Rattus norvegicus: one gene and its partners. The protein of the gene in region 3 purifies or fractionates together with the protein of the main gene of each other region. This does not show direct contact. Links are inferred from orthologs where the notes say so. Each region holds a gene or a part of one and is shown on either strand. Other genes may lie near its edges.

Region 1 (4,242 bases), on a different chromosome or scaffold from region 3:
AAATCCCACAGAGTTATACGCAGTTGTGAACCAACTGACATGGGTACTAAGGTCCAAACATTTTTCACTGCCGAGCCACCTCTCCAGCCCCCTTAGTGTTGGCTTCTGTTGTTTTTTGTTTTATTTTTTGAGCCAAGTCTTGCTATAGAGCCCAGACTGTCCTTATACTCACCATCCTGGCGCTGTGGCCTTCCAAATGCTACGCTGACGACGTGCAACTCCAGCCCCTTGTTTCTGCTCACATCTGAGCAGTCCAGTTCTCACACTTGCCCTAGGTCTGTGCTCCCTTTGCTCTGGTTGCCAGCTGTCATCCCAACTTCTCAAGTCTATTCTCACAGCAGACAGGGCAATCAATCATTCAACAGTTGAGACTTTCTACTTGACACTCGGTCTTGCTTAAGCCAACCTGAAACTCACCAGCCTCCTGTCAGCCCCACCATGCCTGGTTCTAAAGGAATCCAGCGAGCCACTTCCTGCCTCTTCCCAAAAGCATCCTACAGCTCTTAGTTTACCCACAGAAAAGCTACAGTGCCCAGAGTCCCTCAGCCTCCAACTCTCCTCAGTCCTCACTCAAGTCCGATACTGACATGTACTTAGCCCACAGCACCAGCCAATGGCAAACATCCTGTGCTCCCTTCTGTTTACTCTATCTTTCCTAAGGAATGGACACCCCAAACGATGTGGATTTTGTTTTGTTTTGTCTTTGTGGTGCTAGGGATGGAACCCAGGACCTTGGTCACCCCGGGCAGATGCTCTACTACCAAGCTGTGGCCTCAGCCCTTCACAGAGAGATGCGGGGCAGGTGCTTTACTGCTAGACACCAGTCCCAACTCTGAGGCTAGGAATCCTATGTGGTTGTAGGCCTAGTACTGCAAACAGGGGCTGATACATAGGAGGAGCTGAACAGAATTCATCATATAAACGAGCCATCAAACCCCTGTGAGCAACATACTATTAGAAATGGAGTCAGCCAAAGAGGCTAAGTGGGGTACAGAGGGTCATCCCACCAGTAGTTAACAGAGATAAAGCACAGCCATTTTTAATAGGTGCCCATGCTAAGTCTACTGCCCTTCCTGGTTCCACCTCTTCTCACTGGGTCCAAAGCATCTCTCATATAAGGGAGCATACACCTTCCCACTGTCCTTTTGCTGACACCTACTGAGCTCAAGATCCTACCCTGAGCAGCGTGGAGGAGTCGTTCTTTAGATCTTAGCCAATGCCAACAGCAGCTACTAAGGATCTGGCCTAGAGCCTCACCCCACATCAGCCCAGCCACCTCTCATTAGGAAGCCATCAGCAGCCTCTCCTGACATGAATAAACTGAGAAGTGAGGTCCCTCCTTCAAGGTCACACAGTGATAGAGTTCTATACACAAAGCCAGCTCTGGCTGACCACATCCACGCATGGACCCTCTGAAGGCTCCTGGCAGCTGCAGACACCAGCATCTGCTTCCTGGAGCTCACCAGCAGCCAGGGCATCCCAGTCTTATAACCCTTCCTAGAAGGGATCAAGGCCCTCGGATTGCTGGGATAAGCCAAGGAAGGCTTGGGTCCAGGGCTGCCCTGTTCCCTTCCTCAGGGTGCAAAGCTCCCTACGCCCCCAGCTTGCTAGATCTCTTCCCACAGAGTATTCAGATGCCTTGCCTCCTCCTAGGGGTCTGCCTTCATCATAAACACTCACCATGTAATACCTTCCCAGGTCATGCTGGTACCTTGGATTTCCCAAAGACTTTATGTCTATATTTCCTCTTTTTCTTGTATATAGCCTCTTCAATGCCTTCCATGTTTTTGGGTTTGGGGGGTAGAAACAGGGGGGCATTGGCTTTTCCAGCCTGTGTAACCCAGGCTGTCATGGAACTCACTTTGTAGACCACGCTGGCCTTGAACTCAGAGGTCAGCCAGCCTGTGTCTCTGAGTACTGAGATTAAAGGCCTGCACAAGCACACCTGGTATGTTCCATGTCTTTTATGCACTCGTCCATCTAGAGTCTTTTTATACATCACCTCTGGTCTTCTGTCCCCCACCTCTTCATCTCTGGTCCTTCTGCTGTCTCCCCAACCTTATCATCTCTAGTTTCTCTTCCATGCCTTCACCTTATCATCTCTGGGCCCTAGGGTGCTGTTCCCACCTTATCTTCTCTGCTTCTTCTGCAATTCTCCCAATTCTGTCACTGATCCCACTGCTGTCCCCCACCTTATCTTCTCTGTCCCTCTGCTGTCACCCCATTTCTATCTCTGATTCCTCTGGTATCTCCCCACTTCGTCATCTCTGGTTACTCTGATTCCCCCCACTTCCATCTCTAGTCGCTCCGCTGTTCCCCCCCAATTTATCATCTCGAGTTCCTCTGCTGTCCTCCCACTTTACTATCTTTAATCTTCTTGCTGTGCCCCAATCTTATCATCTCTGGTTCCTGGGCTGTTCCCCAACTTCTGGCCCCTGGCCCTAGGTGGTTGCCCGCCTCCCACCTCCTCTGCATCCCTGATTTCCCCCATCTAGGCTCCGGATGGCACTGAATGACCTACCTAACCCGTGGCCCTACTCCCTCCACCTCCTCCCGCCACGTCCGCCCGCGCCACCCTGGTCGTTCTCGGGAGGACACCCCCGCGCTTCCCCGCTCCCTCCGCCCGGTCTCCGCGTGACCCCCAGGCCCCGGTCGTGAGCTCACAGTTCCGGATGTCGGAGATGAACACGGCAAGCCCACGCATGCCATCGCCTTTGGATACAGCCGGCATGATGGCGAAGGGCTCGGCTCCAGGCCTGGCCGAACGGGCGCGGGGCTGGCTGGCAGCACCGGGCGGAAAGGACCCCAGACGGCGCCGAGGAGCCGGCCGGGGGAGGGCGGGCTAGCGGCGGGCTGGCTGCAGGCCGACGCCCCGCCTCAGACCCGCCCCTACGAATTGTCATCCGGGAACGTACTCCACTTGTTAGCTGAAAGCCCTGCCGCTCACAATAGAATGCCCGCCCTCCTCTCTCTTTGATTGGCTGAATAGTAAAGATACATGGCGATGATTGGTGCAGTACTGGGCTATTTCCGTTCGGAGCAGGGAGGCAGGGGGCGTTGCCCTAGAGACAGGCGGAGTTCGATGACACACTCTGGAACCGCCCCCTAAACGGCTGAAACCAACGCTAATTGGATGGACCATCAGCTCCGCGCCAGGAGGGAGGGATGTAAGAGTCTGACGGAGGCGGAACTTCAGGAAAAGAAGACCAATGGGTGAGGAAATCGCACTCCGCAAGGCTCTGGCGACTCGCCGGAAGCGTCATACTTCCGCCCTCGAAGGGGCGGTTGTGGGGGGCGGGCAAAAAGGCGACGACCCGTAGAGAAGGAAGGAGAAAGAAGGCCTGTCAGTCAGCTGAGCTGCGATAGGTGGAGCGATGCCTGCAATTCCCTGCTGCAGAGAGGGGCTGGGTGAGGCAGTAGACTGTGAGGTGTCCACTACGCAGGCGCTTCCCTCTTCACAGTCCGTCTCCACGCCTGCGCCTCAGCTTCAGGAGCATGCCTCTTCCCTCTTCCTTCCCTAAAAACAACACCTGGAAATTTGACTTCTCTAGAAATCTATTATCCATGAGAGGAGGGACTGCCAGTCAAGGCTTGTTACCGTAAACACTAAGGTCAAAAGAGATCGAATGGCTTACCCGAGACTACACAACTCAAAAATGGAAAATTGTGGGATTACGATTTTGGTTTTTTAAACATCCTTCATTATAGGTTGCTCTTCTTTCCTCCCTAAATCCCAGTACCCAAGACAATCTGCATATAATGGTCATAAGATCAAAATTGCTTCTCCATCAGTTCTGGAGAACCACCCAGGAAAAAGCCAGTTAAAGCCACAGCTGAGGACTAGGTCAGTTTGTTTGGCCTCCAACTCCCTAGGTTCTTTGGTTCACTGGTTGCAGGGAAGGCAAAGCCCCCAGACCGCCAATGACCGCCAATGCAACAGCTATTGAGAAATTTGGGGCAAAGGGACTTGGAAGGGTCCATGTCTATTGTCCCCATTAACAAAATGGCACCCCAGACAGTCTTTTCTAATTTGACACCCGCAGAATGGGTCTAGAAGGTGTGACCTGGGACCTAGGAAGGGGGCAACACTGAATCCTTGTCAATAGAAGGCAGTTTTCTGGGATTGGGGATTTAGCTCAGTGGTAGAGCACTTGCCTAGCAAGCGCAAAGCCCTGGGTTCGGTCCCCAGCTCCGAAAAAAAGAAAAAAAAAAAAAAAAAAAAAAAAGAAGGCAGTTTTGTGA
Region 2 (3,654 bases), on a different chromosome or scaffold from region 3:
TACTTTAAAGACAAATGGTGTCACAGACAGCACCTGTGATGACAGCAATGATTTTAAGAGTGTGGATGAAGGTTCAAATAAAGTGCACTTCAGCATAGGAAAAGCACCACTGAAAGATGAACAGGAAATGAGAGCATCACCCAAAATAAGTCGGAAATGTGCTAATAGACACACCAGGCCCAAAAAAGAAAAGTCTAACTTTCTTTTCAAAGGAGATGGAGCCAAATCTTTAGAGCCAGCCAAGCAAGCCATGTCCCCGTCCGTGGCTGAGTGTGCCCGAGCTGTCTTTGCCTCTTTTCTGTGGCATGAAGGCATAGTACATGATGCAATGGCCTGCTCTTCCTTCCTGAAGTTTAATCCTGAACTTTCCAAAGAACATGCTCCCATAAGAAGTAGTTTGAATAGCCAGCCACCCACAGAGGAAAAGGAAATCAAGTTAAAAAATAGACATTCGTTGGAAATATCATCTGCCCTAAATATGTTCAACATTTCACCTCACGGACCAGACATATCCAAGATGGGAAGTATCAACAAAAATAAGGTCCTGTCTATGCTTAAGGAGCCACCTCTACATGAGAAGTGTGAAGACGGAAAATCGGAAGCCACTTTTGAAATGTCCATGCATCACTCAGTGAAGTCTAGGTCTCCGCTCCCCTTAACATTACAACACTTAGTGGCCTTCTGGGAGGACATCTCTTTGGCTACAATCAAAGCTGCTTCCCAGAATATGATTTTTCCAAGTCCAGGTTCCTGTGCAGTCCTTAAAAAGAAAGAATGTGAGAAAGAGAATAAAAAAACGAAAAAGGAAAAAAAGAAAAAAGAAAAGACAGAAATTCGGCCAAGGGGCAATTTGTTTGGTGAAATGGCCCAGCTGGCAGTAGGAGGGCCAGAGAAAGATACCATCTGTGAGCTATGTGGGGAATCCCACCCATACCCAGTGACCTATCACATGAGACAAGCTCACCCAGGTAAGCGGTTTTGTGGTATATGTATATGTATGCTTTGGTCCTGATAAGCTAGATCAGTCACCTTCTTGGGAACTGCCCTCCGAATTATATCAAAGTATGGGGAAACAGTTGCCCAAATAAGTAGAATCCTACATCATTGACCACCGTGAATATTTCTTTAAAGAGATGGAGAAATTCTAGTAGAATAGTTTCTTTAAAGAGATGGAGAAATTCTAGTAATACTCTGATCAAGAAATATGTTTTTTCCTTGGAATGTGGCAAATTTTAAAAATGTTTTAAGTATTTTATGTATTTCCCAAAAGATGACACGAAGACCTTACACAGTATAAGTAATGGCATGTCTAAACAAGAGGGACAGCTTTGTATTAGAGCCTCTAATTCAGGGCCCTGCTCAGAGGTTACCAGTTAAATGGAGTGTACAGAACAGGATGGGGAATTTTCCATGTAAGTGATAATCAGTTGTTTAATCAGAGAACTGCATGTTTGGTAAATATTTTTATATATTTATATTCTAAAGCTTACTTCATATATGATTGTTTTCTTCTTTTTTCACTTTGATGTTAGAAACATTTGATTTCTGAAACATGCCATCCTTTTATATGTGTCTATTTTACTGACATTCATAAGTAGATCTAAAGATACCCATGCCCTGTTTCTTTAATGTACTCATCTAACAATAGAATATCTCAAGCATTTTGAGCATCCTCTAATTGATAATTTTTTTAAATCAGGCATGCTGTTTTTCTCTAATGTATATACACCTTTTAAACAATTAGGTACTTGCTAGGGTTTTAGTTTGGAAAGATGCACATGTTGCTGTGATAATATCAGTAATGAAGATCAGGGACGGGGCTGGAGAGATGGCTCAGCGGTTAAGAGCACCCGACTGCTCTTCCAGAGGTCCTGAGTTCAATTCCCAGCAACCACATGGTGGCTCACAACCATCTGTAAAGAGATCCGATGCCCTCTTCTGGTGTATCTGAAGACAGCTGCAGTGTACTTCTATATAATAAATGAATAAATCTTAAAAAAAAAAAAAAAGAAGATCAGGGACATTCAAAATGTTAAATATTTGTCTTGTGTTTTTTCAAGGTTGTGGCCGATATGCTGGTGGACAAGGATACAATAGCATTGGGCATTTTTGTGGAGGATGGGCTGGTAACTGTGGTGATGGGGGAATGGGAGGAAGCACTTGGTACCTCGTATGTGATCGCTGTAGAGAAAAATACCTCCGTGAAAAACAGGCTGCTGCAAGGGAAAAGGTATTTTTATTCCACTCAGGCTATATTATTTATGACATGTATGTAACTCATCAGAATACATAATCATACCATTGCATTAGTTCTATGTAATTGATATTAAAGTATAGCAAAAATAAAATACAAATTCAATATTTGTTAAGTCAACTGGTTCTAATCTAATATTTCGGTACAAATGATGTGCTGACAAATGTTTATGATGTGATTCCTAACTGCCTCCCACACCGCACATACATGGACACTTCACTGTTTCTGTTCCATGTACTCTCCTCCTCTTTCTTGTCTTTTCCTTAAAATCCAATCATACCATAGAACTCATAGAAATTGGAGATCATTCCTGCTAATGACAAACCATGTCAGAGACCTCTGCTAAAGCTTCATTCCCCACATGACTCCTCCCATGTTCCCCAGTGGTGGGTTAGTTGTTTTAATAATCAAGAGCACAGTTTTAAAATACTTTTTCATGTCTTTTTTTCTTAGAAACAGCAAAAGTTAAGAATTATCTTTTTAAATATACGCAGGAAACAGTCAGTTCTCTTCTCTTTTTTTGCCAGGTCAAACAATCGAGAAGAAAGCCAATGCAAGTAAAGACGCCCCGTGCCTTGCCCACCATGGAAGCACACCAGGTGATCAAGGCCAATGCCCTCTTCCTGCTGTCCCTGAGCAGTGCGGCCGAGCCCAGCATCTTGTGCTACCACCCTGCAAAGCCATTCCAGTCTCAGCTGCCCATTGTGAAGGAAGGCGTTTCTGAGGCCCTTCCTGTTAAAATGCCCTGTCTCTACTTGCAGACATTAGCTAGGTAATAAGACTTTGTTGTTGATTTTTAATTGCCTTTGGGCTTACAGCTTCTGATGATCGATGGCGTACTGTAAAGAGGTTCAGAACTTGCTCTCCTGCTCATGCTGTCACAGAGAGTGGAGAGTGCAGGACACAAACCTCCAGGGTTTGCCTTCTCCATTGCCCTGATCGATGTGACTGGGAGCAGAGAGCATTTTATGCTTGTGGGTGCTCTATCAGTTTGTTCTGTTACGATTAATACAAAACATGTCATAAAAAGAAAGCTTGCATGTTTTATTCTCTGTTAGTTGACTTGAGTCTGTTGGTCAGAACAGGGTGCCGAAGAGGAAAGGAAAGAAACTGTTGTCTCCTGTACACGTTTTTATTTGTTCTTTTTACCCTTAAACAAAACCAGCAGAGTAAGAAGGGCACCAGAAGGAGTAGTAAACGTCCTGACTGTAGTCAACAGTGGTGGGAAGAAAACCTTGACAGTGTCGTGCTGGGTTTACTCAAAGTGAAATGTGAATAGGATGCTGGAAAAGCTTACACAGTACTTGAGACTTCCTCAGCCCATAACGAAGCACTTCCCAGGAGTCTGCCATTGCCATACACTTGTGTGACACTGAAGGACTGACGAATAGAAATCCAGT
Region 3 (2,401 bases):
CCTTAGTTTTAGCTTAACCATTAGTGATTTGCTGGACAAGAGAGGAAGAGAGGGCTTAAGAAAAAGGCCTGCCCAAATTGTAGCTACCATCTTCCACGCACCTCCTTTATGTATTTTAGGAAATAATTGTATGGTGTCATGAGAATCAATTTATTCTGGGAATCTGTTGCTTTCTTTGAAAACTGTAACTTCAGAGATTTAAGCCATAGTCTTGTATTTGACAGTTTGGAGACCTAGTTAAAGTTAGGGATTATGAAAAATTAAATGTATCTCCCGTGTTTTATTTTAACTTAGATACAGTTGGAGGTTAAGACCAAAGCTTCTAGTTTGGCTTTAGAGGTGATCCTCTAGCCATTTTCCATGAGTCTTCACTAATTTTTTTTAAATCAATCAAGAACTTAACAATAGGCAAAAATTAATTCTACATTACTTTTTTTAATGCTATACTTTTGTGGTTGTCTCCCTGGATATAACTAAGAGCTGAAGAAAGATAGCCACTAGCCATGAACATATTTGTCAATAGAATTTTACAAAGGAGTCATGTTAACGCAATAAAATAAATCAAGTAAAATTTGTAGAGTATGTGAAAATTAAAATTCCTGGACTATGAAAAGACTATAGATTTCAACATCACATGACCTTATCTGTGTCTCATATGTTAGTATTTTCCTTGCCACCAACATCTTTGCAAAGTAAAAGTTCAACCCTACAGATTTATAGTTTGCCTATAGACTATTTTGTACATCTTTTCAATGTGTGACTGAGAAAGAGAAATAGACTTGAGCTTTGACCTCCCAGGAGAGGTTCCCACTCTCCCAAAAGAGTGAGTGGCAGACAAGCACACCTCCATGACTAGCAGTGTTGCATTGAATTGGGGGGTGTCATCGGTTAATGTTAAATTTTATGATAAAGAAACTATTAAGAACTGTGCACTAAAGAGCTTTAGTTTACAGACTTTTCTTAGTTTGCCTTTATAGATAGTTTTAAAGTAAATACTGATTCTGAAATGTTTTCTTTTAACAGGTTGTAAAATTAAAGCACTGAGAGCCAAGACAAACACGTATATCAAGACACCTGTCCGCGGTGAAGAGCCCATTTTTGTTGTCACTGGACGGAAAGAAGATGTTGCCATGGCCAAGAGAGAAATCCTTTCGGCTGCAGAGCACTTCTCTATGATCCGTGCATCTCGGAACAAAAATGGCCCCGCGCTTGGAGGGTTATCGTGTAGTCCTAATCTGCCCGGTCAAACCACAGTCCAAGTCAGGGTCCCCTATCGTGTGGTAGGGCTAGTGGTTGGACCAAAAGGAGCAACAATTAAGAGAATTCAGCAACAGACCCACACATACATAGTTACTCCGAGCAGAGATAAGGAGCCAGTCTTTGAAGTCACAGGGATGCCGGAAAATGTTGATCGAGCACGAGAAGAAATAGAAATGCATATTGCCATGCGTACAGGGAACTATATAGAGCTCAATGAAGAAAATGATTTCCACTATAACGGTACCGATGTGAGCTTTGAAGGTGGCACTCTAGGCTCTGCGTGGCTCTCTTCCAATCCAGTTCCTCCAAGCCGAGCAAGAATGATGTCCAACTATCGAAATGATAGTTCTAGTTCTCTAGGAAGTGGTTCCACTGATTCCTATTTTGGAAGCAATAGGCTGGCTGACTTTAGTCCAACAAGCCCGTTTAGCACAGGAAACTTTTGGTTTGGAGATACACTACCGTCTGTAGGCTCAGAAGACCTTGCAGTAGACTCTCCTGCCTTTGACTCTTTACCAACATCTGCTCAAACTATCTGGACTCCATTTGAACCAGTTAACCCACTCTCTGGCTTTGGGAGTGATCCTTCTGGTAACATGAAGACTCAGCGTAGAGGAAGTCAGCCATCAACTCCTCGTCTGTCTCCTACCTTTCCTGAGAGCATAGAACACCCACTTGCTCGAAGGGTTAGGAGCGACCCACCTAGTACAGGCAACCATGTTGGCCTTCCAATATACATCCCTGCTTTTTCTAATGGTACCAATAGTTATTCCTCTTCCAATGGTGGTTCCACCTCTAGCTCACCTCCAGAATCAAGAAGAAAGCACGACTGTGTGATTTGCTTTGAGAATGAAGTTATTGCTGCCCTAGTTCCATGTGGCCACAACCTCTTCTGCATGGAATGTGCCAACAAGATCTGTGAAAAGAGAACGCCATCATGTCCAGTTTGCCAGACAGCTGTTACTCAGGCAATCCAAATTCACTCTTAACTATATATATATACATAAATACTATATCTTATATGGACTCATAAAGGCATGGGTATAATGGTATACCCCAGTAAACTTCCTAATGAATTCTTATGACTGTTATCAGGCTTTATTGGGATTAGGCTAAAGTTGTTAGTACACTTATAAAAGGC

The links.
Region 1: the proteins of Mex3c (region 3) and Ap2a1 purify together in Homo sapiens (affinity purification with mass spectrometry; 3 studies listed by BioGRID, with this or other methods). This does not show direct contact. The link is inferred for Rattus norvegicus from reciprocal best matches to the Homo sapiens genes MEX3C and AP2A1.
Region 2: the proteins of Mex3c (region 3) and Mycbp2 purify together in Homo sapiens (affinity purification with mass spectrometry; 3 studies listed by BioGRID and IntAct, with this or other methods). This does not show direct contact. The link is inferred for Rattus norvegicus from reciprocal best matches to the Homo sapiens genes MEX3C and MYCBP2.

Annotation. Positions count from the first base shown.
Region 1 is NC_086019.1:104,547,812-104,552,053, forward strand, and holds the start of Ap2a1 (AP-2 complex subunit alpha-1), read right to left. Parts: upstream 2,845-4,242; 5' UTR 2,732-2,844; coding exon 2,665-2,731; intron 1-2,664.
Region 2 is NC_086033.1:86,394,582-86,398,235, reverse strand, and holds part of Mycbp2 (E3 ubiquitin-protein ligase MYCBP2), read left to right. Parts: coding exon 1-968; intron 969-2,060; coding exon 2,061-2,230; intron 2,231-2,781; coding exon 2,782-3,026; intron 3,027-3,654. UniProt on the Homo sapiens protein: Atypical E3 ubiquitin-protein ligase which specifically mediates ubiquitination of threonine and serine residues on target proteins, instead of ubiquitinating lysine residues.
Region 3 is NC_086036.1:69,459,824-69,462,224, forward strand, and holds part of Mex3c (RNA-binding E3 ubiquitin-protein ligase MEX3C), read left to right. Parts: intron 1-1,023; coding exon 1,024-2,249; 3' UTR 2,250-2,401. UniProt on the Homo sapiens protein: E3 ubiquitin ligase responsible for the post-transcriptional regulation of common HLA-A allotypes. Binds to the 3' UTR of HLA-A2 mRNA, and regulates its levels by promoting mRNA decay.